Linked DNA regions of Lytechinus pictus. The main gene of each other region encodes a partner of the protein of the gene in region 3 in a complex. Links are inferred from orthologs where the notes say so. Each region holds a gene or a part of one and is shown on either strand. Other genes may lie near its edges.

Evidence for each region.
Region 1: centrosomal protein of 290 kDa-like (region 3) and jouberin-like share a complex: the UniProt entries of both Homo sapiens proteins name them as parts of the tectonic-like complex. The link is inferred for Lytechinus pictus from reciprocal best matches to the Homo sapiens genes CEP290 and AHI1.
Region 2: centrosomal protein of 290 kDa-like (region 3) and coiled-coil and C2 domain-containing protein 2A-like share a complex: the UniProt entries of both Homo sapiens proteins name them as parts of the tectonic-like complex. The link is inferred for Lytechinus pictus from reciprocal best matches to the Homo sapiens genes CEP290 and CC2D2A.
Region 4: centrosomal protein of 290 kDa-like (region 3) and B9 domain-containing protein 2-like share a complex: the UniProt entries of both Homo sapiens proteins name them as parts of the tectonic-like complex. The link is inferred for Lytechinus pictus from reciprocal best matches to the Homo sapiens genes CEP290 and B9D2.

The regions. Positions count from the first base shown.
Region 1 is NW_026974140.1:16,630,499-16,638,498, reverse strand, and holds the start of jouberin-like, read right to left. Parts: upstream 3,007-8,000; 5' UTR 2,940-3,006; intron 1,446-2,939; 5' UTR 1,375-1,445; coding exon 1,358-1,374; intron 712-1,357; coding exon 651-711; intron 1-650. UniProt on the Homo sapiens protein: Involved in vesicle trafficking and required for ciliogenesis, formation of primary non-motile cilium, and recruitment of RAB8A to the basal body of primary cilium.
Region 2 is NC_087261.1:31,142,019-31,150,010, reverse strand, and holds the start of coiled-coil and C2 domain-containing protein 2A-like, read right to left. Parts: upstream 3,011-7,992; 5' UTR 2,589-3,010; intron 1-2,588. UniProt on the Homo sapiens protein: Component of the tectonic-like complex, a complex localized at the transition zone of primary cilia and acting as a barrier that prevents diffusion of transmembrane proteins between the cilia and plasma membranes.
Region 3 is NC_087263.1:11,081,169-11,088,878, forward strand, and holds the start of centrosomal protein of 290 kDa-like, read right to left. Parts: upstream 3,015-7,710; 5' UTR 2,867-3,014; intron 1-2,866. UniProt on the Homo sapiens protein: Involved in early and late steps in cilia formation. Its association with CCP110 is required for inhibition of primary cilia formation by CCP110.
Region 4 is NC_087251.1:29,709,277-29,716,976, forward strand, and holds the start of B9 domain-containing protein 2-like, read right to left. Parts: upstream 3,018-7,700; 5' UTR 2,748-3,017; intron 451-2,747; 5' UTR 443-450; coding exon 355-442; intron 1-354. Other genes in the region: uncharacterized protein K02A2.6-like, read left to right, coding at 4,793-7,700. UniProt on the Homo sapiens protein: Component of the tectonic-like complex, a complex localized at the transition zone of primary cilia and acting as a barrier that prevents diffusion of transmembrane proteins between the cilia and plasma membranes.

The DNA.
Region 1 (8,000 bases), on a different chromosome or scaffold from region 3:
TCTAAATAATAATGATAATAACAACAACACTAATAATAATAACACTTTTATCAGAATAGTGTATCTACAAACTTTATTGATAATAATGATATATTATTATCATCCCTGTCATTTGATACTGACTAACCCTAACATGATGTACATGTATGTACTTTTTCCACTCACTAATTAGCATTCTAACAAGAGTTTTAAACTCAATTGCTAGGTATTCTACATTGGATATCCCCTCTTACTAGGTAACCACTTAGCACCTGGGAAGAGAGTGTGGATTGATGCCTTGCCAAAGATCAGTATAAAGCCGCAGTGAAATTCGAACACACACTTCTCTGATGTTAAAACAAGAGTCAGAACCACTACAACATGATCCTCCATATCAGTTACTGGTACTCTAAAATCTATCAGAAAAACAACTTTCTAAAATGTATAATCTGAAGCTTATTGAAAATCAGTTGTGGATGTAAAATTTGTAATATTTGTATTTCTGATTTTCAACAAATGAAGTGTGATATTTTTTTTTTAATTGAATATAAAAAGTTAATTTTTTGTTATGTATTATATATCATGACATGAATGCATATAAAAAAAAATTACCAAGTGCAATGTTAATCCTGCCAAAGGTAACAATACAAATATTTCAAATATGAACTTACCATAGCATCTGCTGTTTGTGATCTAGCCTTCTTCTTCTTCTTTGAAGTTTTTCCAGAACCACTAAGGAAATTAAAAAATAGGATAATATTCTCATAAAAAGTTTATTTATGATGTACTTATAATCTCAACACTATTTGATTGTCTAATGTAACTATAACTAAATAAGAATTGAATTTAACACAAACTACTTTTGAGAAGTTGAAATTTTGAACTCAGAAATGTATATAAGCCAGAGTTCTGTCAATGGCATAAATACCATACATACTAATGTATTCTAGACATAAAGTAAGACAATAAGGATTAAGAACTTGACAGAGCTATCTGTTTGATATGAGCAAAAAAACATACAAGAATGTTTCTTAACTTTCAATATTCAAAATTGTTTTCAATTAGAAAATTGCAGTATCAATTTATATCATTGGCAGCTCAACTAAATAGAGTACCGTAATAAAATAATAGCAATGATAATGACAATCATAATAATGATAATAAAAATGATATTATCATTTTCATTGATAACAATAATGTAATCAATATATCACAGTAAAAATTATAATGCGCAATTCAATAATATATTCTGTTAACCTGCAGAGTGTAATAAATATTATTTCAATTTTTATAATAAGAGAGGTTTAGCTTCAAAAGAAACACTGAGAAATAGCCACATTATCATCTGTATTTTATTTTGATAATAAAATAGAAATACCTAGCATCCTGGTCCATTGCTGACTTCAGAAGCTCATCAAATTTAGCCCGTGTCTGGTTATGAATTTCATGATGTTCTGAGTGAGGAGCTTAAACAAACAAACGTGAAAAATTAGTCCAGGTATCATAACATATTGCTACATTTTTAGAACCTGAACAGAACCTACTGCAAATGAAACTGCTGTTCTGTATCATTATACATGTATGTCGGCTTGAGCAATCAATCAAAAATTGATTGAACATTTTGAATCAACTGCTATCTAATTACTTTTTTAGTCTGTCCAATCATAAGAGCCATGTGGAACAGGCATAACAACTAGGTAGATATAAGACCCTAATAATTATACAGTATGGCGACAAAGAAGAAATGTGGGAACATCAAGAACATAAATAACAACACATGTACATTATACATCTCGCTGAATCCTAGATTTAATCATCCTTAAAGGAGAATGAAACCTTTGGAACAAGATAGCTTGTGTTAAAACAGAAAAATCAAAGAAACGGATCAACAAAAGTTTGAGAAAAATCAGACAAATAATGAGAAAGTTATGAGCATTTGAATATTGCGATCACTAATGCTATGGAGATCCAACAAAGATGTGTGATGTCACTTGTGAACAACTCTCCCCATTACTTTAGTATATATTTCACTTAAACTGCCTCTTTTATCACATCTATCAGTGGATCATATGTTCTTTCTATAGGAGGGCATGTAATACAGATTTTTTAAAGAATACTTCATGGATAAAGAGTTTCTATCATCATAAGAAAAAGCAAAAAGAGACATTTTGGGGTATTTTATAGTCCATCAAAGGGAAAGTTGTTCACATGTGACATCACACATCCTTGTCGCATTGCCAATCGAGGATCTCCATAGCATTAGTGATTGCAATATTCAAATGCTCATAACTTTCTCATTATTTGTCTGATTTTTCTCAAACTTTTGTTGTTCTTATTCTTTGATTTTTCTGTTTCGACACAAGCCTACTTGTTCCAAAGGTTTCATTCCCCTTTAAGTTTTTAACACCTCCTAATTGGAAATTGTACTGTTTGCACTTGGCAGAACATTTAAACAAAAATGGTGATTGGTTACAATTATTACAATGATTGTGAAGAAGATGAGGATAATGATTATGATAACTATAATGATTATAATCAAATCATGGTGATGATGATTATAGTGATGATTATGATTATGGTGATGATTATGGTGATGATGATTATGAAGATTATGATTATGGTGTTGATGATGATGATGATGATGATGATGGTGAAGACAATTCTTATGAACATGATGATGGTGATGATTACAATTATGGTGATGATTATGATTATGGTGATGATCATAATTATGATCATGATGATTGTAATGATGAGGAGGGGAGGAGGAAGATAAGGAAGATGATGATAGTGAGAAAGGAGTCATCTTCTCTTCTTCTCTACAAGTACAGTGTCTCAAATGAGGGGTCTAAGTGTCTCAAATGAGTTATGTACTGTACTCATTGTCCTGTATATTGCGATATCCAGGATGACAATGACAATGGTCCCTGCTTGATTTGAAGTGCAAGTCTGATACTTACACAGCGCTCTGTCCTCATCTTGGCTGTTGCCATCATGTGGCAGTTTGCGTCCCTTTTTCTTGACCTTTCCTGTGAACAAAGCAAATTACAAATGTAGCATTTAAACCGGCAAGACTTCCATATGTCCCCTCCACTAAAAAGGTTTATCAGGAATTATCTAACATGTATCTAAGAGATTTAAGAAGGAAAAGTTGGATACATACCAAAATATGGCTTTATTCTGTCAAAATTTCGAGTGTGTGTAATTCAAAATGGCATTGGTTTAGTCTATTTAGTCAGAAAAATAAATACCCAATACTCTTGGAGAGAAGACTAGTCGTAATATCGGTTGATAACCCATGGCTTTCAACAATTCATACTAGCTCAGTGAGTAAGGCGACATACGGTAGTGGAGATTCAACTGAAATCACCAACACACTCTAAACATGTACAGTACACATTCACATTCAAAATCTTGAATAAAAAGTGAAATTTTCTTCCCTAAATCACCATATCTCGCATCAAAAATATCACCATCGGTATTTCTTAACATCGTAATTAAGAAACAAAGGGTCTAAAAAAGTGGATTTTTCACGGTTTTCCCGATGATCGTGGATTTTGAAAACATGTCCACGGTAAAGACTAGCACTTTCGCGAGCCGATGTCGGCCGCCATTTTTTTCCAGAAGTCAATGCTGAGATCGAAAAATAGTAAAAAACATGAAAAATACGACAACAACACCTCAAAATATAGCGCCCCAAGAGAGGCCGTTGCGTGTACGCTCGCTATTTTCACATGCGTTTGCAATGGAACTGCACACTCAGCAGCGTTCGCTCGCAGTTTAAAGGTGAATTGCAGCTGCCTCACGGTGCCTCACGGAGCTTGCGGGAGCGCCATAGGAATCGTACATCGGACCGCGCACCGGAGACAGGGTGGCCGCACACAGAAGAATGCTATCGCAGTCAGAAGTGGTGGTCAATCTTGACCACCGCGATTGCTATCGGCCAATTTTCACGATAAAAAAAATAAGTACCATCAGTCCTTTTTATATGATATGTATGGATTAAACTAGTTTGTGCAAAATAGGTACAGGATGGGAAAAACCCTTAAGCGGGCGCACATCAGGGACTGTCTTTTTAAATTAGTGGAGGGGTCATAAGGAAGTCTTTTCTTTAAACCTCTGCAACATTCTGCTTGACAAGCATGATAAAGGAAATTGACGATAGGATCCCCCTTCAAAATTCTCCAAAAGTATAGAGGCAATGATCATCAAAAAAGAAAAAAAAAAGGAAAAGCCAAAAAAAAGGAAAAGAAAAAAAAAAGGAAAAAAGAAAGAAAGCTTAAAAACAGACAAAACAAAAATAAATAGGTCCAGTAGAATAAACAATGAAAAGAAGATGACAGTAGATCTAAGTAAGTTAAAGTTACTTAAGAAACCATCAAAAAAAGGAAAAGGAAAAGAATCTGAAGTTCTTTCAACAAAAAAGCTCAAATAAGTCAAAAAAGCAGTGGCAAAAATAGTCATTCTTGACTGGTTGCCAGCCAGCCAAACCAAACAAAGAAGAAGCATTGGCTTTACCCTCTTATGATTATGAACAGCCTCTAACGTTAGTTTAAGTTAGATCTAGAATTCTAAGTTAGATCTAAGTTAGTCTTTTTTTTCTAGTTCGGACTCGGAGTTGTCTTTATGGTAGGGGGCCCTAAAGCTATGCGGGTCCCACTCATGGGATCAATGCATCTCGCGTGCGAAGGATTCATATGCACATGGTGCACGCGAATTTTTCACACCCTTTTTACTAAAATAACTATGCCATTCCTTTTAAAATAATGTTTCTAATTGTGCTATGACACTTACCGAACCATATGGATCGTTTCTTGACTTCTCTTTGGTGTGTTTTTAAGAAAAAAAAAGCATTTTCTCGTGATCTTCACGTAGATACCGCAGGGTCATCGTGGTTGTAAACTTTTGCTTAAAGAGGGCGCGCGATATTATTCACAAGATGTTTGTTTACGGTTCTGCAGCTTGTACTGCTAGCTGCATTTTAGACGCTCGGCATTATTTTCCTCTTTCTGTTTTTTTTTTGCTGTCAAGCGGTATTTTCTATTGTAGCGCCATCAGCGATGATGAAATGTAAAGAGTCGCCTTGAAATGAAGAAAAATTATGTCACATTAATTCGTTAGTTTGTTTCCTATTTTTTTGCACTTTTTTCTTCTTCCTCATCTATGATCAAAGGTGAATACCTTTTTTTGATATCTGTTCTAAAAGCTGGACATTTTAAATATTTTGTTCAAGTAAATAAATCAACAGGATAGTAATCAAAATGCGATAGAGCTGCCCGAGCTGAAAATTCTGATACAAGGACTTGAAAATAAAACATTCTGAGCACTTTTTATAACCATGATGAGGAGACCTATATATATATATATATATCAGGGTTGTAATAAAAAACATTTTTTATCAAAAAAAACAAATAAAACGTTTTTTATTGTTTTAAAACATTTTATTTCCAACGAATGATGCAATTTTCTGTAAATCAATTAAACTATACACTATTACAGTATGTTTTAAATAAGAGATGACCACAATTTTGTTAATGAATTTCCAACAGAAAAGTTCATATTTCCCCCCAAATCACTAAATCATGGAAATTGAATGCCTACAACAACAAAAAACACTTTATAAGTAAATTGACATTTCATTCCTAATACATGTACATATACATGTAGTTCCAAGGTATATTGAGTCTTGTCAATGGGGGGGGGGGGGGGGCAAGAAGAATTTGCACAATGGAAGAAATTGATATACATGGGGTTTCAAAGCTTAATTTCATTACCGGTAAATCAATATGCTTTATTTCATTTGAATCAATTATACCAATTTTAGTGCATGAAATTCAAATTCAGTTCAAATCTATAAATAAAAACCTTGAACTACTTTTTTTTTTTTAATTCAGGAATGCTGATCAAATGTATATTAAAAAAAAATCAGTATAGAATGTTTTTTTTAGCCCTAATAAGATTGGAGGGGGGCTGATTCAGCACCCCTCCAGTCTGATTCAGCCCCCTTCGTCACTCAGACTTTTCTTTTTCAAGTCTCACGCAACTTTTGAGACCAAAATTGCGACCTATGCGGTTCCGAAATTATGCAACATTCTGTAAGTGCATGCAGACCCAAAATTGCTCAAAAACGTGAATTCGTGTACAAATCCAATGCAAATAGTGTTTTTAACCAAAATTCATAAATGTCTCATTATTTTTCCTTTACTGACTAAAATCAATTAATTTCACCTTGTTTATGGTCAAAATATAGTCCCTGACTATTTCCATTGAAAAAACAATAAAATACATAAAAAATAAATGTGATTTTGAAATTTTTTAAAGAACATTTGATCAGATTCCTACAAAGAATGAACCAAAAATGAGCATTTCAGGGGCATTATTTATAGAGCAAACTTGATTTTACGCATAAATTAGCAATGAGACTTATGCAAAATTTGATTTATAGTTTTTTAGATTATGCCATGGGTAACGCCGTGCCAATTTTTGTTGTGATCCCGTGATCGACGGCTCAGATCATAAGGGTGGGGGGGGGGCACCCTCAGTCTTCTTAGGAAACGAAATAGCCCAGTCTATTTAGGTTACCGGTAATGTTTTCTAAAACTTTTTTATATTTCTTATGTACAGATTTTTAAACCTTTTTTTTATTACTTATAGAAATTTTTGGCAATAATTTTCCAATCATTAACAATAAAGTAAAAATAATGATACAGATACAAATTTTGGCAAGAACTCACAATTTTGGCAAGAACTCACATTGGGTTTATACATGAAATCACATTTTTGAGCAATTCGGGATCTGATTATGCACTTGTGGTGTATATCATAACTGCATACCCAAGCATGCATCCCCAAAATAGTCTTGAACGATATGCCGTGGCCCTGTCATGTTTATGGATTTATCATATACATTTTTAGGGGGACATTATAAAGGTCCCCTTGAATTGTTAGGGTTAAGGTTTGCTAGCTGATTATCTTATACTGTTTAAAGAAAGTACTTTTCTTCATCTTTATGAAGCACAAAGTTTTATACCTGCTTTTGTGTGTACCTCAAGAGTATGATGTCAGGTTTACAGTCTATTTGTAAAATATTATTGTGCTTGTGCAACACTTCCATTTCATTCAAGTACTTTTATTACATGTACATGTATTTGAGCTCATGTTTCCTTCCCTGTCCAAAAAGTGAGCACAACACTCAGATATGTTTGTTAAAATGAGAATATTCTTAATATGGATTGATGTGCACAATTGAACAGGGAGAAGAGGAACATAACAAAGCAATGGAGAAAGAAAGAATAAAGGGAGAAAGAGAAAGAAGAGAAAAGGAGTGGCATTGAAAAAGAGTTTTATTTAGTTAGAAGAAAATAATACACCACTTAAGAAATAACAGTATAAAAAAAAAAACATTCATCTAAAAACACATCCATGCAAATTTATAACACACAAGTCTATGCGGTGTTTTAAAACAGGTTTTTTTTTGTAAAAAAAACTGGTGTTTTAAAACGCGTTTTAAAACATGTTTTAAAACACACCGTTTAAAACGCGCCAACCCTGATATATATATATATAGTGTGAAAGAAATGGATGAAGAGAACAATGGTAGGCGTAGCTTAAATCAAGGTTCCCCAGAGCTATCTACCCTTTTTGGAAAAATTGGTGATGCCGAAAAAATGTCTCTGCCGGGAATCGAACCCGGGCCCCCAGCTTTGAACGCCGGTGCCTTAACCACTAGACCACAGAGACGGGTTAGTGGATCGGGGTCGCCCTAGCCACTAACCCGTCTCTGTGGTCTAGTGGTTAAGGCACCGGCGTTCAAAGCTGGGGGCCCGGGTTCGATTCCCGGCAGAGACATTTTTTCGGCATCACCAATTTTTCCAAAAAGGGTAGATAGCTCTGGGGAACCTTGATTTAAGCTACGCCTACCATTGTTCTCTTCATCCATTTCTTTCACACAATATTTAAATATAAAAGAGTTGCCAAAGCTGTAGTACATGTATAACTTCACACATTTGTATACTTTCTCC
Region 2 (7,992 bases), on a different chromosome or scaffold from region 3:
AACATTGCCCTCGATGCCAACGATGCGATCATATCTGTAGTTGCCTATGTAAACCAACATTGCCCGCCATGGCAACGATGTGTTGGTGTCTGTAGTACATGCCAACAGTGCCCGCGATGCCAACGATGCGATCATATCTGTAGTTTCCTATGTAGACCAACATTGCCCGCGATGCCAACGATGTGTTGGTGTCTGTACTGTAGAGTACAGGCTAACATTGCCCTCGATGCCAACGATGTGAATGTATCCTTAGTAGGTATAGGCCAACAGCGCCCGCGATGCCAACGATGTGTTGGTGCCTGTAGTAGATGCCAACAGTGCCAACGATGCCAACAATGTAAATGTATCTTTAGTACGTATAGGCCAACAGCGCCGGCCAGGATGCCAACGATGTGTTGGTGTCTGTAGTATAGGCCAACCTTGCCCGCGATGCCAACGATGTGAATGTATCTTTTGTATGTATAGGCCAACAGCGCCCGCGATGCCAACGATGTGTTGGTGCCTGTAGTAGATGCCAACAGTGCCAACGATGCCAACAATGTAAATGTATCTTTAGTACGTATAGGCCAACAGCGCCGGCCAGGATGCCAACGATGTGTTGGTGTCTGTAGTACAGGCCAACCTTGCCATCGATGCCAACGATGTGAATGTATCTTTAGTAAGTATAGGCCAACTTTGCCGGCGATGCCAACGATGTGAACGTATGTTTAGTATGTATATACCAACAGCGCCCGCGATGCCAACGATGTGTTGGTGCCTGTAGTAGATGCCAACAGTGCCAACGATGTGAATGTATCTTACATAGGCCAACATTGCCGGCGATGCCAACGATGTGAATATGCCTGTAGTAGAGGCCAACATTGCCGGCGATGCCAACGATGTGAATGTATCTTTAGTAAGTATAGGCCAACTTTGCCGGCGATGCCAACGATGTGAATGTATGTTTAGTATGTATATACCAACAGCGCCCGCGATGCCAACGATGTGTTGGTGCCTGTAGTAGATGCCAACAGTGCCAACGATGTGAATGTATCTTACATAGGCCAACATTGCCGGCGATGCCAACGATGTGAATATGCCTGTTGTAGAGGCCAACATTGCCGGCGATGCCAACGATGTGAATATAACCCTAACCCTAACCCTAACCCTAACCCTAACCCTAACCCTAACCCTAACCCTAAACCCTAACCCTAACCCTAACCCTAACCCTAAACCCTAACCCTAACCCTAAACCCTAACCCTAACCCTAACCCTAACCCTAACCCTAACCCTAACCCTAACCCTAACCCTAACCCTAACCCTAAACCCTAACCCTAACCCTAACCCTAACCCTAATTGAATTCAATTCCCATTGAATTCAATTCCCATTGAATTCCTTCAATGGGAATTAAAACTTTATTTCATATTTTAATGAAGAAAAAATGAAAATATTTCATGTATAAAAAATACAAAAGAAATAGAGAGTGAATGACATCGATCACCTCACTAACCAGGATATGCATATATTAAACTGTTTTGTGAAACCATACCTTGAAACGCTTGCCAACGATGTTTTGAATGTTGCATTGCACGGTCACATCGTTGGTCGTTGGCTAGCGGCGCACCCAACGATGTATAGCAATAGCTAGTAGTAGTAGGTAATTTAAAAGAGTGTATTAATCTTGTACTATTGCACCTTCACATCGTGGGTCGTTGGTTAGCCAACGATGTTTTGAATATTATATTGCACCGTCCGTACCGTCACAACGTGGGTCGTTGGCTAGCAGCGCACCCAACGATGTTTAATTATAGCTCTAGTAGTAGTCAAAGGGCAAAGGTCATTACGTATGGCCTGGATGCATTGCTCGTACGTACCGTCATACGTACGTACGTACGTAGTATAGTAGTAGTAGTAGTACCAGTAATGCATGTACGTATATAATAGTATGGGTATATCTAGGCTATATACCATTGAATTAGTATATAGCTATAGGTCTTGACATCGTTGTGTTGGCTGACCAACGATTGGGTAGTGAGCAGTGTCGGGGTATTCTGCAGTTAAGCCAAATTAGATTACATTATAAGATTAAGATGACTAAATTTAGTATATTGAAGATTTAGGCATGTTTCATATTCTCACATTCGTGTGATGAATGAAAACGTCAAAATTCATTAGGCCTAGGCCTATGATAATATGAAATGACATGCGTTGTGCGAGGTCGAGGTTAGTATTACTAACCTCGCATGTTGTGTGAGTGTTCTGTAAGTCCTCGTATTAATTTTTCGTAAATTAACGTTATTTGTTGAATGCGCCATGCCTTCAATTATTCTGTAGTCGGCGGCTGCCGGCTGAGATGTAGCCGTGGGTGGGAAGTTGGAGCCTCCTGGCTAGCTTCACCATCACATCACAGAAATATATAGGTGGGACAACGTAGGAAATTTGTTTACGTCGTCGCGATCGCCGGCGCCAAGTCTAACCTTAACGTTCAAGTTTTTTAGCGTAAAATGTAAACTCATGCCATGGTTTTGTGGATGATTTCGATTTTTTAGCAGAACTTAATCTCCTACTCAAAAACTAGCCATCTACTGATTCGTAAATAATGACATACCATCGCCTTCGATCTTGATTCAACCACGATCTGAATCTCTGTTGATTCTCGAAATTCCTCCGTTGCGCCGCACTTCTCTCTCATCTCCCCCTCTAGCTCTAGCTCTCGTTCAGTTCCTCCGATCCGCTGTTCGGATATATATATCGGCAGGTATCCTCTTCTTCTTCTGTATCCTTCCTCCGCTGTATCGGAGATCCGCAGTTTAATACTGCATCATTAGCATTTCATATTTCATATTTTGACGTGAGAGAGGTGAATCTTATGAAAGAATTTAAAACAAGTCGGTTTAGGTCGTTTTTGGAGGAATCTGTTAATTCGACGTCAGGTAGAAACAGGACGGAAATGGTAAATTGTTGAGGTTCTTGATCATTAAATGCTCAGAAAAATATTGCAGTTCCTTGTCTTCTTTTAAGTTTAGAAGTGTTTTCCTGTCTGTGCTAAATGCAGTGGCGTAACAGGCGGGGGGCAGGGGGGCAAGCTGCCCCCCCCCCCCTCCTGGCAGATTTCACCCGGAAAATAAAAAAACGGGGAAAAGGAAGAGGGAGGGAGAAACAAAGGGAAAGGGGAAGGAGGAAAAGGAAAGGGAAATGGAAAAGTGAAAAGAAAACGAAGCGATTTTTTTTTTAATGGAAAAGGAATTAGGAAAGCGGGAAAGGAACGAAAGAAGAACATCCCTGAAATAGGCATATAAAAGTAATGCAATAGCATGATGGGAAATAAATTAAAAGATGACAAAATGGCAAACAATAGCGGGAAGTGAAGGTAGAATGGAATAAGTCAAAAGCTAAATTGGAAAACAAAGAAAAGGGCCGGACAAGAAAAATATTAATAACACGACCTGGCTGCCGAGGATTGAAAGTAAAGAGCGGGAAGAAAGAGTGAATTGCATACAAAATTGTGCTATCTTGCTTATTTTTTTGCAAATAAGCTACCGGGGGCTTTAATTGCCCCCGGAGACCCCACGCAGTAGGGGTTCTTCATCTGTAACTTTCAAATGGCTCTATAACGCCCCCCCCCCCCCGGCCCTGTAGGGACCCTTCATACATTATACTTTACTAAGCTTCAATCACTGGCGTACAGGCGCGGGGGGGTGTCTTGGTTCCACACCCAAAAGGAAATAAAAGAAATTATAGGAGACAACTATAATGAAATGAATGGAAACAATGAAAGTTGTTATTTGCTGAATATAATGGAAAATCTATCACAGAATTTAATTTCATTGGGCATTTTTTTTCCAGCTCGCTTTGCTAGCTGGCGACTTTTTACCAATTTCCCCACATTGCTATGTTTTGCCCCCTCAAAATATTTGGTTCAACTGGGTTGAATAAATGTGTTGTGTAAAAGCTATATTCTGTATATACCCGCGATTTGATCTAAAATAGCGGCAATCTGCGAAGTTTAAATGGCTGTGATATCAAGAAGTTCCGGGGGCTCTGCCCTGGACCCCAACCGCATAGCACTGCCGTATATGAATATGGAAGGGTTAATTGGGCCATGGTCCCCAAAACTTCTACAACCAAGAAAAAAAAAAGGAGGATAGAAAAGCAAAAGAGAAAAGGAAAAGTGTATGACATATAGGAACCATTTAAACAAACTGCTAGTTCTTCAGAAGAAAGTTATGAGGCTCATAACATATTCGAATTACAGATGTCCAAGTATTCCTCTATTTCTGCAATTGAAGATTTTGCCTCCTGGTGATTTTGTCTCCTTCAATTGTTTGATATTTATGTACAAATCACTATCCTCTCAAAGCTGTTCATTTTTTAAAAATGCATTTGTTGTTAATTCAAATGTACATTTGTACAATACACGGCAGAAAAATCTTATCCACCAACCACTTACAAGAACAAATACTGCTTTGAATTCTTTTGTGATAGTTTGTACAAAAGAATGGAATAAGTTACCACAAAACTTTCGATCCAGTCCAACACTGCCCATATTTGAAAATTCATGTCGAAAATATTTATTTGAAAGATTACAAAATATCTTAAATTGATTCTTGATAAACCATGTGTGTGTGTGTGTTTTGTATGTATTTTTCTTATTTACTCTACATTATCATTGTAAATATTTTTTTCATCTCATTACTGTTGTAATGTACTTTACAAGGGGCCCCTCTCACAAGCTCTGCTTCTTTGGGGTCCCAAACCTATCATATATTCTAATTTTTGTTAAACTGTGTAATATGTCTCTTGTTTTGATTGGTTTGAATAAACTTAAACTTGAACTTGAACTTGTAGGATATGATTTTATTTACTGAATATAATGTCAAAAAATATCTCCAAGTTAGATTATCGCTTCGCTCGCTCGGGGCTTATATTAAGCAGCTTTTTAGCACATGCGCCATATACTGCGCCCATGCATCGTTTTTTTACTTTATCACGTTCGCTACTGCTGCAAATAATCCTGTTCACAGTGGCGTACAGACCACAAAAACAAATGAATGGAAGATTTTATGTCAAAATCTTTTGCATTAAAAAAATTTTGCATTAAAAATGTCAAATTTTGCTCGCTCGCAACTTTTTTTAAAAGATAAATTCTGTCCGATACGCAATATCTGGCCCTCTCAAAATCGCCGCCTTATTACACCATTCCGCCTGTTCATACCATGATATGACCGGGAAATTTTTGGCTCTTGCCCCCCCCCCCCCCCCCCCCCCCCCTGGCCACCAACCCCTGTTACGCCGCTGGCTAAATGCTGGGCATCCTCCAACAAAATGTATAACAAAAACGGAGTGGCAGAACTTGCAGGACTTTGTGGTACTTTGATCATTCTCATAGGCGGATCCAGGGGGCCGAGGGGCCCGGCCCCCCCCCCCCCTATTGGCGGAGTAAAAAAAGGGGAAAAGGGAAAGAAAAAAAAAGGGGGGAAAGAGATAAGAAAAAAGAAGAGGAGGAAGACGAGGGAATAAAATAAGATGAGGGGAAGACTTGGAAAATAAAAAGATCTCTTTCATGTCACTATAGCTATATAAAATTTTCGCTCGCGCTTCGCATTGCCTGTTAGGTGATTTTCATATTTTGTTCAATATGGAGTTTGAATATCAAGTTTGGAAGTCAATTTACAAAACATATTCTACCTCGGAAATCGAACTTTCATTATTTTGTGTGAATATTGATGTTTAAAAAGTGCTCTGTAAAAATGTCAGGTTTTTTATCTGAATATTAACATTTCTGCTCGCGCTGCGCGCGCGCAAATTTTGATTTATCAGGTACCTATGATTTTCGTGTATTCCATAAAGTTTTAAAAATACCCTTTTCAGGTCTGATTGTCAAAACGTATCAGCTAGCACTGCACGCTCGCATTTTGATTGGCGAGTTATGTATGTCTCAATATTGATTATACAACAAACTACTTAAAATCCTCTTTTCATGACACTCAAAGTAATAATAATGAAAAATCTCAGCTCTTTATTAAGTGCGATCAATAAAAAATTAGTTCATGCACTGATGTCTTCACGACTTGATTTCGAGAATGCCTTGCTTTACAATTTGAATTTACCCAACACCCAGTTGTCCAAACTCCAAAATCTTCAAAACGCTGCAGCACGCATAGTCACCCTTTCCCAAAAAACATGTTCATACTTTTTATAGGTTTCGATGGGGATAGACTTTAATTTTTAGGATTTCTCTTCATTTAATCTTTATGCGTCCTTTATCTTAGGAAATTAATGAAAATAGAAGCTGATTTAATATTCCGCTAAAGCGCCCCTTTTACAGAAAGGGGCGTTATTAAAAGGACATTTTAAACAGACTAATAGAGTCAAAGGAAAGTGATGGGGCTACTTTGACAAGCTCTGTAAAATAGTATAGGGTATATAGGCTTCAATGTACAAGGACGTCTTTTAATGCAATCTTTAGAACAATGTATCTTCTGTCTTTTTTTTTCAAAAGATCAGTGGAAATGATAATGATAATTTCAAATAAAAATTATATCACTCTGATATTGAAAAAGGGGTGGGGAGTACCTTCTAGCGGCTCCAAATAGGGTTAGGCTTTGATTCCCATAACGTCATTGCATGTAACATGCATAGCAATGTTTTATTTTCTCCATGCATAACAAGAAATAAATTGACAGAATATAATGTTACATTAATAATAATAATAATAATAGTACAAAGTAGGAACTAAGCATAAACAAGAATGTTTGCAGTGCAGGTTCCTTAACTTACATCGTTTGTAAGTAACGCGTTTGACTAAAACATGGCTTAAAAAAATAAGCATTCACAGAAACCAGAACAAAAAATATATCAATATTAAAACTACATTAATGCCCTTTTCTGTCTTTCTCTAATATTTCCAAGAGCAGAAGAGGTTTCGTAAATATAAAAGTTGTTTTGCTAACTGTGGCATCGCAGCGTTTAGGAAACTCTAAAATTTTCTTTTAATGTGGGCCCAACGTTTGTAAGTTATAATCCCCATGAATATGCTAGGAGAATAAATTTAGTTGATACAACTTGAACTTTATAATTATACTAATTGTAATTAGCATAATATGAAAAGTTGTATAGTTCTACCCAACAAACTGTTCTATCTGTATTTGCTTTTCTCTTCATGTCATAATGAACGTTAATTTTAGTTGTGCCACAATTTTAATTGGGAATCAGGTATAAACTGGGAAAATGAACCATTTTATGTTCGAATTTGAATAATATATGATAATTCATGCATAATCTATACATAATTTATGCAAATTAGATGACAATATGGATGGATAAACAGCTCGTTGGTAAATGTTTTCTTTTCCTCCATGCTCCATAAAAAGTTGGTACTGAGTAAAACGCCCAATTTTGGTGATTGAATATAGTGTCTGGGCATTCTAAATATATTTTTTATCATGAAAATCAAAATGTGATCGCGAAGCGCGAGCTGAAAATATTTGATATTCCTATTTGAAAAAGCGTTAATTTAAGCACCAATTCAAGCACTATGTAGGAAAGTTGTGAAGTGGATATTATGGATCGCTCTTAATAAATGATTTGAACGCGAAGCGCAAGCTGATATTTTAATTATTTTTATTTTGATCTAGGATCTGGACATTCTAAGGACATTTTGTCATCATATGAAAATGATGACTTTCTTCTATTCCTCTTCCTAAGCGAGAGATATTCCATCTGAAAAAAAAGGACAATTTAAATATTAGGAATTCATGAAAATGTTAATGTTAATCTAATAAGCCTAATGACAGCTCGACATTTGTTGACATTAATTCCTGAAAAATGGATATAGCACTTTTGTAATTATGAATAGGATGCATGGGTTACTATCTTTAACAAATTAATGAGAGCGCAATTTGCGATGTCATGAAAAGGGGATTTTAAGTAGTTTGTTTTAGAATTGCTTATTATAGAGGAAATTATTGAGGTATATATACATTACTCACCAATCAAAATGCGAGCGCGCG
Region 3 (7,710 bases):
AAAGTGTGCCGGGCCAAAATCCAAAATGGCTGCCAAAGCCCCCCAAAATCACAGTTTTGGCCACAACTTTTTTATTTGGTGGTAATTTTCTCTGGTTTTGGTGTCTATTCATATGTTTTTGGGGGCAGGCAATTTGTTTTTCCTATAATTAGTACTTTTAAACCATTATTTGTAGAGTTAAAAGGTAATTTTACCTAAATTTTCCCATTTTTGTAGCCTTTTTTCAGCCAAAAAGTAGGTTTTATCATCCTGGGGTTCTGGGATATTGGATGGTACGAGGTCAACAATAGCAAGCAGCTTCATGTAGCTATATTGCTTTTATTCCTCCACTTTGGGTTTTACTGATATTTGTGAAATACATCTTATCAAATAAAAGAAAATTCATTTATCCATAGGGGCTATACGGTGTACAATCGGCACTGTACATACTACAATGTATATATCCATGCATTGACCACCATGGCATATGACAAGGCCTGTATATAAACTATAGTGTCATAGAAATGAGCTTCAAAGGTTTAGAATTAGATTGTGAATTTGATTCCTTGTCAGCTAGCAACGTAAATTACACTTACATGTAAATATCACATACAATGTATATATACGTACATCACATTTTTATCCATATCTTCTTCATTTTGAGGCTTTTATTTTAACCTGGTTCTGGTGTCTAACTGGACTATGTTTATGGGGTCAGGTAACTACTAGTATCACGGTAACGCTGATCAACAGCCAATCAGAATAAAGGATTGCATGCAAGTTACCATTAAGTTAAGTTAACATAATGGTAAAATTTTATGCAACGGGGCCCAGAATAGCTACAGTGTAAATTACCTCTCTCCGCCCCCTGAATTAGCATATTTGACAAAACATGTCCTCAATTTCTGAGACAAAACAAATCTTCAATTTCTGAGGCATCTAATTCTAAACCTGAGAGCTCATTTCTATGACACTATAGTTTATACAAGCCTTGTTATCTGTCATAGTGGCCAATGCATTTATGCAGTGCAGTATGTATGTACAGTACATTGTACATACTGTATAGCCCCAATGGATAATTGACATTTTTTTATTTAATAAGATATATTTCACAAATATCCATAAAACCCAAAGTGGAGGAATAAAAGCAATATAGCTATATGAAGCTGCTTGCTATTGTTGACCTCGTACCATCTAATATCCCAGAACCCCAGGATGATAAAACCTACTTTTTGGCTGAAAAAAGGCTACAAAAATGGGAAAATTTAGGTATAATTACCTTTTAACTCTACAAATAATGGTTTAAAAGTACTAATTATATGAAAAACAAATTGCCTGCCCCCAAAAACACATAAATAGACACCAAAACGAGAGAAATTGACCACCAAGTAAAAAAGTTGTGGCCAAAACTGTGATTTTGGGGGGTTTTGGCGGCCATTTTGGATTTTGGCCCGGCACACTTTTTTCTCGGACCCGAGACAAAAATTATTGTCATTTCATGTTGAGATACATTACAAGGAATGAAAAAAAACTGTTGTCATATTGAAATTACAAAAAAAGTATTTTTGACCCATGTATAGCCCACTCCTATTATTATTTTATTTTAATTGTTATTATTATCATTATTATTATTTCCTGCTGCAAAACTATAAAACCAATCATATCATTTCTTTGTGATTGAGTATATTGGCACAGCTACACATGTGGGGCAAGGGGAGGGGGGGGTGTACATCCTTTTCATCACAATATTGCTCTTTTAGCTTTAATTTTCTGGTAAAATTTTCAGGAAAATTCAAAACTGGAACTCTCTTTGTCTTACGAGGTATTTTAATGCCACAGAATCAGCACGATTTTGTAAGATTTGGGATGTGGTGCTCCATAGACACACACATAATGACACAGTACACACTATAGGGGCCTGTGGACAAGGGTAGATTCAAGACTCAATAGCGGGAAAGTTTGAAATTAACACTTGTAATTGTCAATGATGAATGAATAAAGTGTTGCAAATGACCTAAATAATACAAAAAATCATGAAATTAGGATACAATAAGTTGCAGAATCGAGATATTATTGATGATTTGAACTATACCCAAAATGTGCAAGAGCACCACCGTAACTCGGGAGGACGTGCGACGCCGGGGAAGAAGGCTTTGTTAAACATTAAACATCATGAGTATTGATGAATTTTATATGTATTGATTCGTTATACATTCCTAAATTCGAAAATCGACACGACTTATTTTCCGAACCATCCCTAAATTAATTATTGTGGCCTAAAGTCACCTTATAATTACGAGCCTGTCTCTTACGATTTTTTTTGTAAAATTTGACGAGCGCCCTCTCGCAACGTAGTGGTGAAATTAACCAAGATGGCGCGACACATATACTTTCCATTGACTGCGTGTAACGTGCACGTACGTGAGGCCTAACTGTTAAAATTTGAGGTGAACTGAAATTTTTTTTTTTTTTGCTTGTCAAATTTTCAAAAATGTGCCCTCCCCCTTTTTGGGGAAAACCTGATCCGCCCCGGCCCTGCTTTCTTATTAGAGCTCAAACAGTAAGGGCATCCTTTCAAATGCCAGTCCTCGTTCCCTGTCGTTTTAAGCCCTAGCCTAGCCGGCCAAGCTTTGCCTTTGTCGGACTCGGAGACGGAGTACGAGTTTGGCCTTCCCGACGTCCGACTGAGCAGAGACACGCAAGCTGGCCGGCTGACCTCGGGAAGCTCCGGGGTAGCGTGCAGTCAATGCCGCCAGCGCACACAGCCACTTTTCGCTTCGAAGTGGAGCAGCCTAACTAAGATTTTCAGCCGCTAAGCACAACGTTAGCGTCTTCACAAACAAAACAATAGGGCATGAGAAATTGAAACCATGTCAAGAGAAATTACCGATTGTTACCAGTTACAAGCAAATCGAAAAAGGTATTCTTGTTTTCTCAGCCGAGCTTGAGACAGCTACTGAGCTAGCGAGACTGGCGCCTTCTTTCATCCATTTTTGTAAAGCGTCCATCACAACGCATTTTGCAACGTAGATGGCAGCATGCAAAGGCGGATTCAGGGGGGTGAAACTCCGCTTCTGCATCCGGTCAGAATTGGGGGAAATTTTGGAGGGTCAAAAGTGCACACTGCTCCCATTTTTCGTATACAAGCCTATGGACACCGCCACTGTCTTGGTACACCAGCGAAATGAAGGCGTGGTCATGGAACGTCCTTCGCGCATAGCGTAAAATATGTAAATTAGTATTTTGTCACTAATTAGCATAATGCGCGACCTGATTTAATATCGTTGGTGTCTGTGATTACATCATGTCAGATCATTCGTTTTTTTCCTCCTCAGAGTTTTATTATTCATCTATTTTAATGATCTTTTTGTTATTGCCTGTTAGATTATTACTGCATCGTTGCTTTGTTTTAGCTGCAAATGGCCAGGGTCTTTGCTAAAAAATATTACAGAGGAGGTTCCCAAAGAAAATGTTGCCATATGCGATGACATCTCTTTATGTTTCTGGAGCCCTTTTTTCTTTTTATTGCAGAAAACGAAATGAACCTTTTTTTCATAATATAAACAAAGATAATAACAAATCAAGTTCTTTTCCATAATTTTAGTCTCCAATATAAGTCCTATTATGAATAGCAGTCCTCGGAGCACTTAATTTTAAATGGCGACTTCTATGTCAAACATCAATAATCATGACCTAGGTATATACCATATTTTAGGGGGGAGGGGGTTCTCAAAATTAAATAGGCAAGAGAGCAAACCAATCGTAGGCTATAGGGTATTTCTTTTTTATTTTCAACTGAAAATGTATCTGGTGTAATTTTCATATGGAAAGAAAAAATACATTTTATATGTATGTTTCAAAAATTTGGAGAAATAATTATAGCCCCCCCCCCCCCCCGTTGCCCGTCATGAACAGTAAGGTCTTATAATTGCTTCTTTCAAAACAAACTGAACTTTCACCCCCCCCCCCATCTCTCTCTCTTTCTGTCTTGTCTCTCTCTCAGAAACTGACATAACTATATGCATACAAGCAAATAATTCTCCTGTCATTTTACTTTCTTTCCCACTCTTATCCTTATTTTTCTTGAATAATATTTTAATTGACTGCTGTTTGATCTCATGTAACAGTGGCATCATCACATTTCAGTACAGTGCAACATCTTGTGCCATTTGTGCATAACAGCTCAGCAGCAATACATCATCACAATTAATTGATAAATGAAAATTACCAAGATAAAAAAATTCAATTCAAAATTAACATGTTTATTAAGGAATGCATTTTCTAAAACATTGACATTAACATAAAAAAAATAATTAGCATCTACCAAGCATTAAATTGTATTTTAAAAAATGAAGGCAATGCATAGCTAAAAAGGGCTGTTACTGGGTAAGGGTAGTATGGGGTGGGTATATAAATGTACAAAAATAGGATTAAGTACATTTTTCTACATTGTACAATGTTTGTTAAAATTTCATTCAAAGGATCTCGATGAGCCTATAGTTAATATTCCATAAAAGAGCATAAAAACCTTTGATATTCGTTTATTTTCTTCCACAAAAGTTTGTCACTCAAAAAAATTGGTAAATTCCTTTCAAATTTGCTGACAAGAAATAGTCTACTGATGTGAGAGCACTCCTCATAAGGGGGGGGGGGGGTGGGACACAATGCCAGAATCCTAAAGAGTGCCTTCCCCAATCAATACATTAGCGAATCATTAACAAAATTTGATTTGTCTACTGTCACTGTGGTTAGAATTCAATCTATTTTTGAAATATAGTCTATTTATATATTATTGCAGTGGTAGCCCATTTCACATAACGATAAATGCAACTTAATAACCCTACATAATTTATGAAGACTTGCAGTGGCGTACCGTGGGTCACGGCATCGGGGGGGCACCAGCAAAAATTTTGAGACCGTTTCATATCTCTTCTTGGCACTTATGTTGTGATACCAGTACTTAAACAGCTTAGGAAGTGGGAAACCTGCATGGTAAAAAAGAGAAAAGAACATAATAAGCTGTAAATTATTTTTACTCATCTAGTCCAGTTTAGTAAAAAAAAGATGTAAACTCTATTTTATATCTTCAGTGATAAAACAAGTTTAGCACATGCAGTCACTTTCGTCCCACATCCAGATAAATTCATATATCAATATAACTATCTACAGTATGTTTTGAAAATAAAGAGTGCAAATTAATTCAAATATTTATCAGAATTTTGTGATAACTGTAATAATATCTTGGGTTTTTTATGCAAATGCATGTATAGACAGGAGATATGGATAATTAGTATGCAGTGTTAGAAATGGAAATACTGGTGAATCTGAATTCAAACAAATATTAACTTACAATGGAACTTTAACATTACATGATATCGCATCATGTTTCAGCACAATTGGCCATAGCCCACCCCCTCCCAAAAAAGGGGAAATATTCTTTTATTTATTTATTTATTTATCTTTTTTTTTGGGGGGGGGGGGTGATGAGCTTGGATACAGCCTGTATATTATCAAAACAGTAAGCATACCTTGCAATTTTTCCATTCAGATATCCTGTTCCTCATTAGATTGTAACTAACACTTGCTGATCGGCATGGTTCCCAATTTTGTACTTCTGACTAGGTGTGAACTGCTAAGAACTTGGTCCCATTGGATCTGCAATTGACAATTTAAATTTGAGAGTTTTAGAGATAATAAAATTACTCTTCTTAAACAATATTTTTGAAATTTCCAGCTGCCCATATCCCAGGTCTATGAATGAATATTCCAAACTAGAACAAAAAATTTATCTGGACCCGAAACTTCATTCTCTATCACATAGAGACATAGGCCTACCTCACTCTGTTTATAAAAGTAAAATGATTCCAACCACATATTTCTACAGCTGTATATAGCTGAATCTGGTCTATGCTGGGCCTGTATAACTTAAGAATCACATCACATTTGAATGAAGTAAACACTAAGAACGTTTTCAAATTACCACCCAAGGCCGGGCCCAGGGTATCCTGTTCAAATAGACTTGATTTAGGTCTAGGGTAGGCTATGCCATTTCATTCAAATCTAAGACTAAGACAAGTGACACTTAACATAACAGACATTAATGCTAAGACAATCGTATTTCAACACTGATTATTCTGAAGTAAAGCGTTCCTGAATAAAAGAAACTGCTGAGAATTATACTTTTTCATATGAAGATGAAATAGAGGGGACGGACTAGGCCTATATAAACTTCAACTTTCAAGCTTGAAGTTTGGGCCTAGTCCGTCCCCGCTATTTTCATACCCCATGACTACATCGACAATCTCGCTAGCCGGCTAGCACCGGCGATATCAAAGGCCGGATCCCGCGCGCTCTGACCATATCCCTACATTGACCTAAATTTGAATAGGCCTAAAATCGACAGTTTGTCGTTACTAAAAAACAGGAGGTCGGAAACAAGTCCACATCTACCCCTGATAATTGTCTAATCACAATAAAACTGAAATAAAGGTTTACTTTGGACCTACATGAAGCATTCCGATGAATGTCTAGATCTACGACAAACTATAGACCCCTAGTCCTAGATATACCGGTAGTATTTTTGATAAACTCAATGATCACACTTATTTGGAAGTCAGCTCAGGCAAAAGAAATATTGAAATTGAGGTTTACATAGTGCGTAATACAGGATGAGCCCCGAACCCCGGCAAACACATTACAATTTGCAAGTGAGATCAAAACATGAAAATGAGCGTAACTTACTTTTATTCCTATGGAATGTCATTAGAATAGTATTGATGTTCCCTCCAAGATTTTCCGCTCCAATGAAGTTCACTCAGAAACCATGATTTCGAACATCAATTCTATAAACAGATAATTAGTCTAGCTATTTCGTTTCAGAAACTTCAAATTTGCAGAGTCCAAAAGAACGACACTTCGCACAGATATCGTAGGGAATTGTGGGACGGAAAAAAATGTTTAATGCATGAGTACATGAATAAAACATTAGCGTTTAATCCAATCATACAAGTGCATTATGCGTATTTTGACGTCATTCTCATGAATAAAACATTGACCCTCCAAAATCATCCTTCAAATTGTCCGCCGGCAGCCATGTTGGCTATGTACAAAACCTATGGGAAATAAAAACGCGCGGAAAGAGTTCCCTCTCTAGCTCCCTTCGGGAGCTTATACGTAAGATCGTATCTCTGTGGGCGGATTCTTCTTCTAGTACGGTACCGGTACTTTGGGCTATCAAGTAAAAACAATGACTATTTTTTGTTACCCGGTTTTGACTTTTGCCACTGCTTTTTTGAGTTTTTTTTTCTTTGCAAGGATGAATAGCTTCTTTCTCCTTCATTATTGTTTTTCTATTCTATATTACTTTCTTTTTTCTTTCGTCTTTTCCTATTCTTTTCTTTTTCTCTTTTTTTCACTATTTTGTTTTCTTTTCATTTTGTCCCCTCTATTTTTTCTTTACTGCTATTTTGCTTTTTATCTTGTCTTTTTTTTCTTTTCTTTGTTTCTTTTTTTCTGTATTTTGTCTCCTTTTTCTTTTTACTTTTCTTTTCTTCTTTTTTCCTTTTCTTTTTTTTTCTCTTCTATTATTTTTCTCTTTTTTCTTGATTCTTTTTTATCTTTCCTTTTCTTTTCTGTCCTTTTTTTGCTTAATCTATGATTTATCTTATTGTAATAAATAATCCTTTTTTGCCTTTGTTTTGAATGCAGGAATTTCTGTCTGTACCTGTCTTC
Region 4 (7,700 bases), on a different chromosome or scaffold from region 3:
GTGCTTTTGAGTTTTGATTATGGAGTGATCTGAAACACACTTTTCCCTATTTTTGTCCTACCAACCAACCCTCCTTACATATTAATGAACAGATGGTGATAACATAACAATAACAGTTTATAATAATTCAAAGGAAAAAAAATCAGCAATTGTAAGAGAAACATCTCCACAGATTGGCAAGTTTCTCAATTAGGTTAAGGTAAAACAAAAACACACAAGAGGCACAAAGCATGCATCAAAGAGACCTCTAGGTAGCCAAGAGCAACCAATGAAACAAACAAATTCAAGCAAGCCATAGCATAGGCCTACATGTAGGACATAAACAAACTTCAGATTAACTACTTGCATGCTTACCAGTGTGTATTTTCCATTTGCAATAAAGATTTTGATTTGAGAACCCACTTGCTCCAAGGATCTGCCCTATAACATGAACTTCTGCCATCTCTCTACCTGACAAAAAGAGCATTTAAAGTGAACAAACTTGTCAATAAAAGCAGAAATTAAACCTGGATATAAAGAAATATAATTGGTGGAAATATTACAACAGAAATTAAAGTTCTATACATATATTTGGATCTACCAATTTCTATATCCTGCAGAAAATAAAAGTCTAAAAACAAAAAAGAAGAGAAAAGAAAAAGGAAAATAAACATTTTAAAAAAGCAAAATAAAAGTAAACAAAAAGAAAACAGGAGAGAAAAAAATTGAAAAGAAAGTTAAAGAAACAAAAGAAAAAAAGAAAAGGAGAAGAAAAAAAAGATAAGGAAAAAATATGTAAATGTAAAATAATAATAAAAAGAGACAAGAATTAAGAAAGATGAAGGAGAAAAAAAGAAACGAATATAACTAAAAAAAATATGAAAGAAGCTAATGATTTTTTTTTTTAAAGCTAAACAGCAATGACAAAATTAATCATTTCTGATTGGTTGCCAGCCAAACCAAACAAAGAAGTTGATTTTTTTAGAAATGATTTGATTGATGATTCATCTCACATAAATTTATAATGCACACAAGCACAACCTCACAAAGATACATGGTCACACAATAATAAATTTCTTAAGGCTTAGACCTTAGACTCTAAATTATTTAATTAATTACATTAATTATATATACAAAAAAAATTGTTTTTCACTTTTACAAATGAGACAATTTTATTTTTTAATTCTACTTAGTAATTAGACTCACATCTTTTCAGAATTTATTGCTGAAAGACTTAAAGGTCAAGTACACTTCAGAAAAATGTTGATTTGAATAAATTGGGAAAATCAGACAAGCATAATGCTGAAAATTTCATCAAAATCGGATGTAAAATAATAAAGTTATGACATTTTAAAGTTTTGCTTATTTTCACAAAATAGTTATTATATGCACAATTTAGTCACATGCAAATGAGAGAATCGATGATGTCCCTCACTCACTATTTCTTTTGTTTTTGTTTGAGTTATACAATATTTCAATTTTTACAGATTTGACAATAGGCCTATGGACCAACTTGACTGAACCATAAAATGTTAAACAATGGTAATTCCACAAGTTCAGGGCGAAATAGAAATTTGTTTCACAGTACATTGGCGAGAAAAATCAGAATATTTCATATTTCATATAATAAAATACAAAATAGTGAGTGAGTGATGTCATCAGTTCCCTCATTTGCATACCTACTGGGATGTGCATATATAACTATTTTGTGAAATTAAGCGAAACTTTAAAATGTCATAACTTTCTTCTTTTACATCTAAATTTTTATGAAGTTTTCAGTGTTGTGCTTGTTGGATTTTTCTCTTCTTATTCTAATCAACTTTTCTTTGGGGTGGACTTGTCCTTTAAGTTATTAGTTAATCTGACTAACTTGGAAGTTTAAAAAAATATTGTGTTTGAATTGAGAATCTAAGAACTTTGTACAAAACAATAACAAAAGTTGGATAGAAAACACACAAATACAGTCATGTAATAATTTCACTCGTTTTCAAACCGTAGATCTAGTGAATCTATATTCTTGACCAGGCATACATGTAACTGTAAGTACTTCCTTACGCTGAATGAGGTATTAATTTAATTTAAGCTCAGGAGTGGACTGTGCAAAACGAGGGAGACACAGGACTGGGGTAGATTGGGGTCTCAATTATCTTGATAAAAATAAAATGTGGAAACAGAAATTATGCACTTACCACGATTATAATGGATGAAGAAGGTCTATCGTGACACACAAATCCTGACATCAACACATAGACTGGAACCTCAAAAAAACAAAATATAGCCTCGGTCTCTATCGGCCATTTTGTTTTGAATTTTTACAGAAGGAGAGGTATCGCGACACTCCGACAGAACTTTTCGTTTTTTTGAGGTTCCAGTCGATCTGTGCCTCGATGTCAGGATTTGTGTGTCACAATAGACCTTCATTTCATCCATTATAATCGTGGCAAGTGCATAATTTCTGTTTCCACATTTTATCAAGATTACTATTGAGACCCCAATCTACCCCAGTGTCTCCCTCGTTTTGCACGGTCGACTCCTGGTCTCCGGGAGCTCCTGGGCCGGGTTAGTAATGAACCCGGGAGTGCGGGGAAACTAGACGAGATATTCACACAGCACATATTATAATATGTGGGACTGAATTAGATTTGGCGTACCTAGCAACAAGAATTATACGGACTAAGATTTCGATAAGGTTAATTTCTTTATATTCCGAGAATTTCTTACAAATGAAAATACAAATACAGCACATTTACATCAATATGTTAACTTACGAAAGCAATTCGTTAATCGTTAGACCTCTCCTTTTGTCTAAGACTAGTTTTAACAGTTTCGCCGCTTAGTTCACAAAAATGCATGATTAATGAACGTAGATGGCAGCAATACTGGAAGTGCAGTGGCACTGCCACGGAAATAAATTTTTCGTGTGCACTGCTCTCTCTGGAAACAGATCAATGTCACGGCTATAATTAAGACATTTTCAGCTCTTCCATGCACTTATTACTTGCCATAAATTCATGTTATGTTATGTTATTGTGATGTATGAACTGAAGACTAATGACGCAATCTTCATGAGCAGCCTTGTACGCATGCGCGACAGAGAGCAAGATGGCGTAACATTAAATGGCAGACACTACTCTACATCGCTGTGCTATTATCTCATTATTATGTATCCCTTTAAGAACCACAACACGAGAACATAACAATTTGGCGACGAGGATGCAGGGATAAAAATGAGAGTATAGATTGGACTTGATTTCCAGTAAGTGACATGCATTGCGGATAGCTTTTGGAAATTAGCCGCGGATATTGTCATTGATACACTGCACTGCAGAGCATAGTGTGATCGGTCAATCGCAGCCTAGCCGTAATTTGGATGACGGATGAATGTGGCTTGTTGAAATGAACGCTTTGCAGAAGCCTCACACCGCTCATGCCAGCCTATGTTGAGACCGAGTTATGTAGTGTCTACAGCCCATAGCATAGGCATAACATTGACAATTGTTGTAAATTATTGCCTAGCCCTAGATGTTACTGGTAGTTGACATTGGACTATTGACATAGCAAATTGGAGCCAACTTCAAGCCCGAAGTCTCCAAAGCAGCCCAGCCCAGCAGCAAGCAACAGAGCCCAAGGACCAAGCCGATCGAGGACCCAGCCGAGACCTCTTTTGCCAGGTTCAGCCCAGACGGTGTTGCATTCATTAGTCAAGTCCAGCCAAGCAAGTTTTGAGTCTGCAAGCCAGGACAAAGTTGTCGTGCCAAGAAGACTCAATACAAATTCAAGCCAAGCTGCATAATTAATGAATGAAACAGAAACAAAACATCAAAGACTTTAAAGACTTTTTGATGGACTTATTATGAATAATAATAAACACAGCATTTATTTATTATGTACCGTGACTTAATCAAAGACTAAAGGTAAGATTAAGACAAATTAGTCCAGGTCCAAAAATACATTATATGGTTGTAATTGCAACGTGTTGGACTAAAGAATTGGTCGAAACATAGATCTGGTCTAATGTAACAAAGTACCGTACATGCCCTGGTGAGTTGTTACACTGTCACTGGTCCAATTAATTAGGTAGTATTTAGATTTAGGTCATTAAAATAGCAATTATAGATCTAGGTCTAGAACCATCAGGACCAAGCCCAAGACTGAATTGAGATCTGATGTTTATACAGTAAATAACGATAAACTTAAGCCGAGTTTATGCCGTAGTCATATAGCAAATTGGTCCAGTCAACTGGTCTAAGACTATGCAAGTAGGATCAGGCCTATGAAATTTAGGACCAACAAGAAGTTCCAGGTCTAAAAAGCAGGACCAGGTATAATCTTATAAGCAGGTCTAAAGTAGGACCGGGTCTCTGAGTTATAGGACCAAACAAGGTCCAGGTCTAAAAAAAAAACAGGACTAGGTCTAATCAGTTGTAGGACTATAACTTAGGCCCAAAGTGTTGATCGATTATAGTCTAAGACTTAGCAATTAGGACCAGGACCCAGTGCCTATATTTGCTATGCAATTGAATAACTGCAGCCCCACGACATGGGAGTAGTCCCACATATACCAGTTGTGTGTAGTGATATAGTATTGTCAATCGTTGGACTATATATGTCGTTCTAGCTTTGTTTCAGGTATACAATAATGCTTTGTATAGGCATTATGTACTAAGAAAATAAGCTTTGCTTACGCGCAATTGCAAGATCAAAATCATATTTTATGATCAATAAGTCTTGATATACTTAGTGTTACAGCTACCTATTGTGTAGTCACAATCAAGTTAACAGCTGAATTTTGTACAACATATGAATCAAAATTATGGCAAGCCAACATATAGGTAGTGTGCCCAAACTGAGTGATGGGTACAATTTTGACGAATGGCTTGAACTCCTAGAAGCATGGTTTGATGCTAACAATATACAGGAAGATGGGAAAAGAAGGGCAATATTTCTGACCAATCTTGGTAGCAAGAGCTATCACATTCTCAGAGCTCTCTTGCAGCCGAGTAAACCAATAGATCAAACATACACAGTATGCAAAACTACGCTTACGTCACACTTCGTACCAAAGCCTACCGAAATTGTTCAGCGCTATAGGTTTTACACTTGTGTGCAAAAGCAAGATGAGTCCATACCGCAATTTGTAGCAAATTTGCGCCAATTAAGCGAAGGCTGTAATTTCAAAGAATTAGATAACATGATTAGGGACCGCTTAGTAGTGGGTTGCCGGGATATCGCAATTCAACGCAAGCTGTTAAGTGAGTCGTCCCTAACCTTACAACATGCACTTCAGACCGCCACAGCTATGGAGGTAGCAGACAGAGATGTTGAAAAGCTCAAAGTATTAAGTAAAGGGACCGAGTCACCTACAGTTCAGAAGATGCAGGACAGAAGCCAGCATAAACCATTTGTGTCCTCATCGCGTAAAAATACACATCAAAGACAGAAGCAGGACATGCAGGAAAAGCCTCAAAAGCCAAGCCAAAAGAAACAGGAAAAACCTGCCTCAAGATGTTGGAGATGTGGTTCAGGTGATCATGGCCAGTCAGCATGTAGATTTAAGGATGAGAAATGCTATCAGTGTTCTCAAGTGGGTCACACCCGCAGCCAGTGTGAGAAGATCAAGCAATACAGATCTAGAAAGAAATATGCAAACCACTTGAATGGTGAGGAAGGTGCAGAACTGATAGAAAACATGCCTAGTGGAGAACTCAGACACCTTAGGGGTGGAATGGTAAACAAGATGGCAAAGTACAGTGAACCGTTCCAGACTAGCCTAAGCCTAAATGGGATCCAAGTTAACTTAGAAATAGACACAGGAAGCCCCTGGACGATGATGTCGCAGCAGGATTTTCATAAACTGGGACATCGAGCTGATGTGAAGCAAGCAAATGTTTCCTTGAAAACATACACAGAGTCATCAGTACCAATCATTGGTGAGGCAATGGTAGAAGTCAAGTTTGATGCCAGCCAACCACCAAAGAAGTTGACACTTCTTGTAGTTGAGAAAGGTGTTGCGTTACTGGGCCGAGACTGGATGCAAGCCGCACCAGAAGGAATCTACAGATTCCTACAGAATCGCCTCAACCTTCAAACACATGTTTCCAACAATCCAGAAACCATGCATAAGATACAAGCTACCTTACAAGACATGTTAGTGAAGCACAAGCAAGTGTTTGACTGTTCAAAAGTTGGTAAACTTGAAGGCTACCAGGCAAAGGTGCATCCTCAAGATGATGGAGATAAAGCCAGGTTCTACAAAGCTGCACCAGTCCCATATGCAATGCGCCAGAAAATTGACGAAGCCATCGATGAGCTACAGGACCAAGGCGTGATTGAGCCGGTGAAGTTTGCTGATTACGCATGTCCTATCGTAGTGGTGAAGAAACCAAATGGTAAAGTCCGCATATGTGGCAACTATAAGTTGACAGCAAATAAAGTTCTAAGGGTGGAACGGTACCCAATTCCGTCGCTCCAGGATATGCTCCAGGACTTAGGTGGAGGTCAACAGTTCAGCAAGCTTGACCTTTCACATGCATACCACCAGATAGAACTTGATGAACAAGCAAGGAAGTACACCACAGTAAATACACACAGAGGACTTTTTCAGTACACTAGGTTACCCTTTGGTATAGCCACAGCCCCTGCGCTCTTCCAAAGAGCAATGGAGTCACTCTTAGCTGACATACCAATGTGTCGCCCGTATCTAGATGATATTATAGTTAGCGGGAAGACAGATGAAGAACACATTGCCAACTTGCAAGCTGTACTGCATTGCCTAGAGAGTAATGGACTTCGACTGAAAAGGGAAAAGTGTGAGTTCATGATGGACTCGGTGGAGTTCCTTGGCCACAAGCTGGATCAACATGGAGTTAGCCCACTCCCGGACAAGATAGAAGCCATAAAGAAGACTCCAAGACCACAGAACCAGAGTCAACTACAGGCATACCTAGGACTTCTGGGCTACTATCGGAAGTTTATACCAAATTTGACCAAAGAGATCGCCCCACTAATAACACTGTTGAAGGCAGAGTATGCTTCAGTGCCAAAGAAGCAGGGAGACCGGAACAAAGCAGATCCAAACCTGAAGTGGGGAGGAGACCAAGAAAGAGCCTTCCAGAAGTCAAAGGAACTGGTTCAGAGTGACACAGTGTTGACACACTATGACCCCAGTAAGCCTTTGTTGTTGCAATGTGATGCAAGCCCCTATGGTCTAGGTGTAGTCCTCAGCCATGTAGGAACAGACGGTCTAGAGCAGCCCATTTCATTTGCATCACGCACGCTCACTAGAAGTGAAGCAAATTACGCCCAATATGAAAAAGAAGGACTCTCTGTCATTTTCGGTTTAAAGAAATTTCACAAGTACCTGTACGGAAGACGATTTACAATCGTCACAGACCACAAGCCGCTGTTAGGCATATTCGGTGACACCAAACCTGCAAGCCCCATGGCCTCTGCACGGTTAGCCAGGTGGCACATGATCCTCTCAGCCTACGACTATGACATCATATACAAGGAAGGTAAACAGCACCAGAATGCAGACGCCCTTTCACGCCTACCCTTGGCAGATGATCAAACAGTGTGGTCGCATCAGAGTCTTGCAGAGCTGGATGAGCAGCCGCCAGTTCAAATCAACATGCTGGATATTGACACAAGACCAGTTGAAGCCGATGAAGTCAGAAGAATCACCAAAAGGGATCCTGTTCTCGCAAGAGTAACAGCCTATG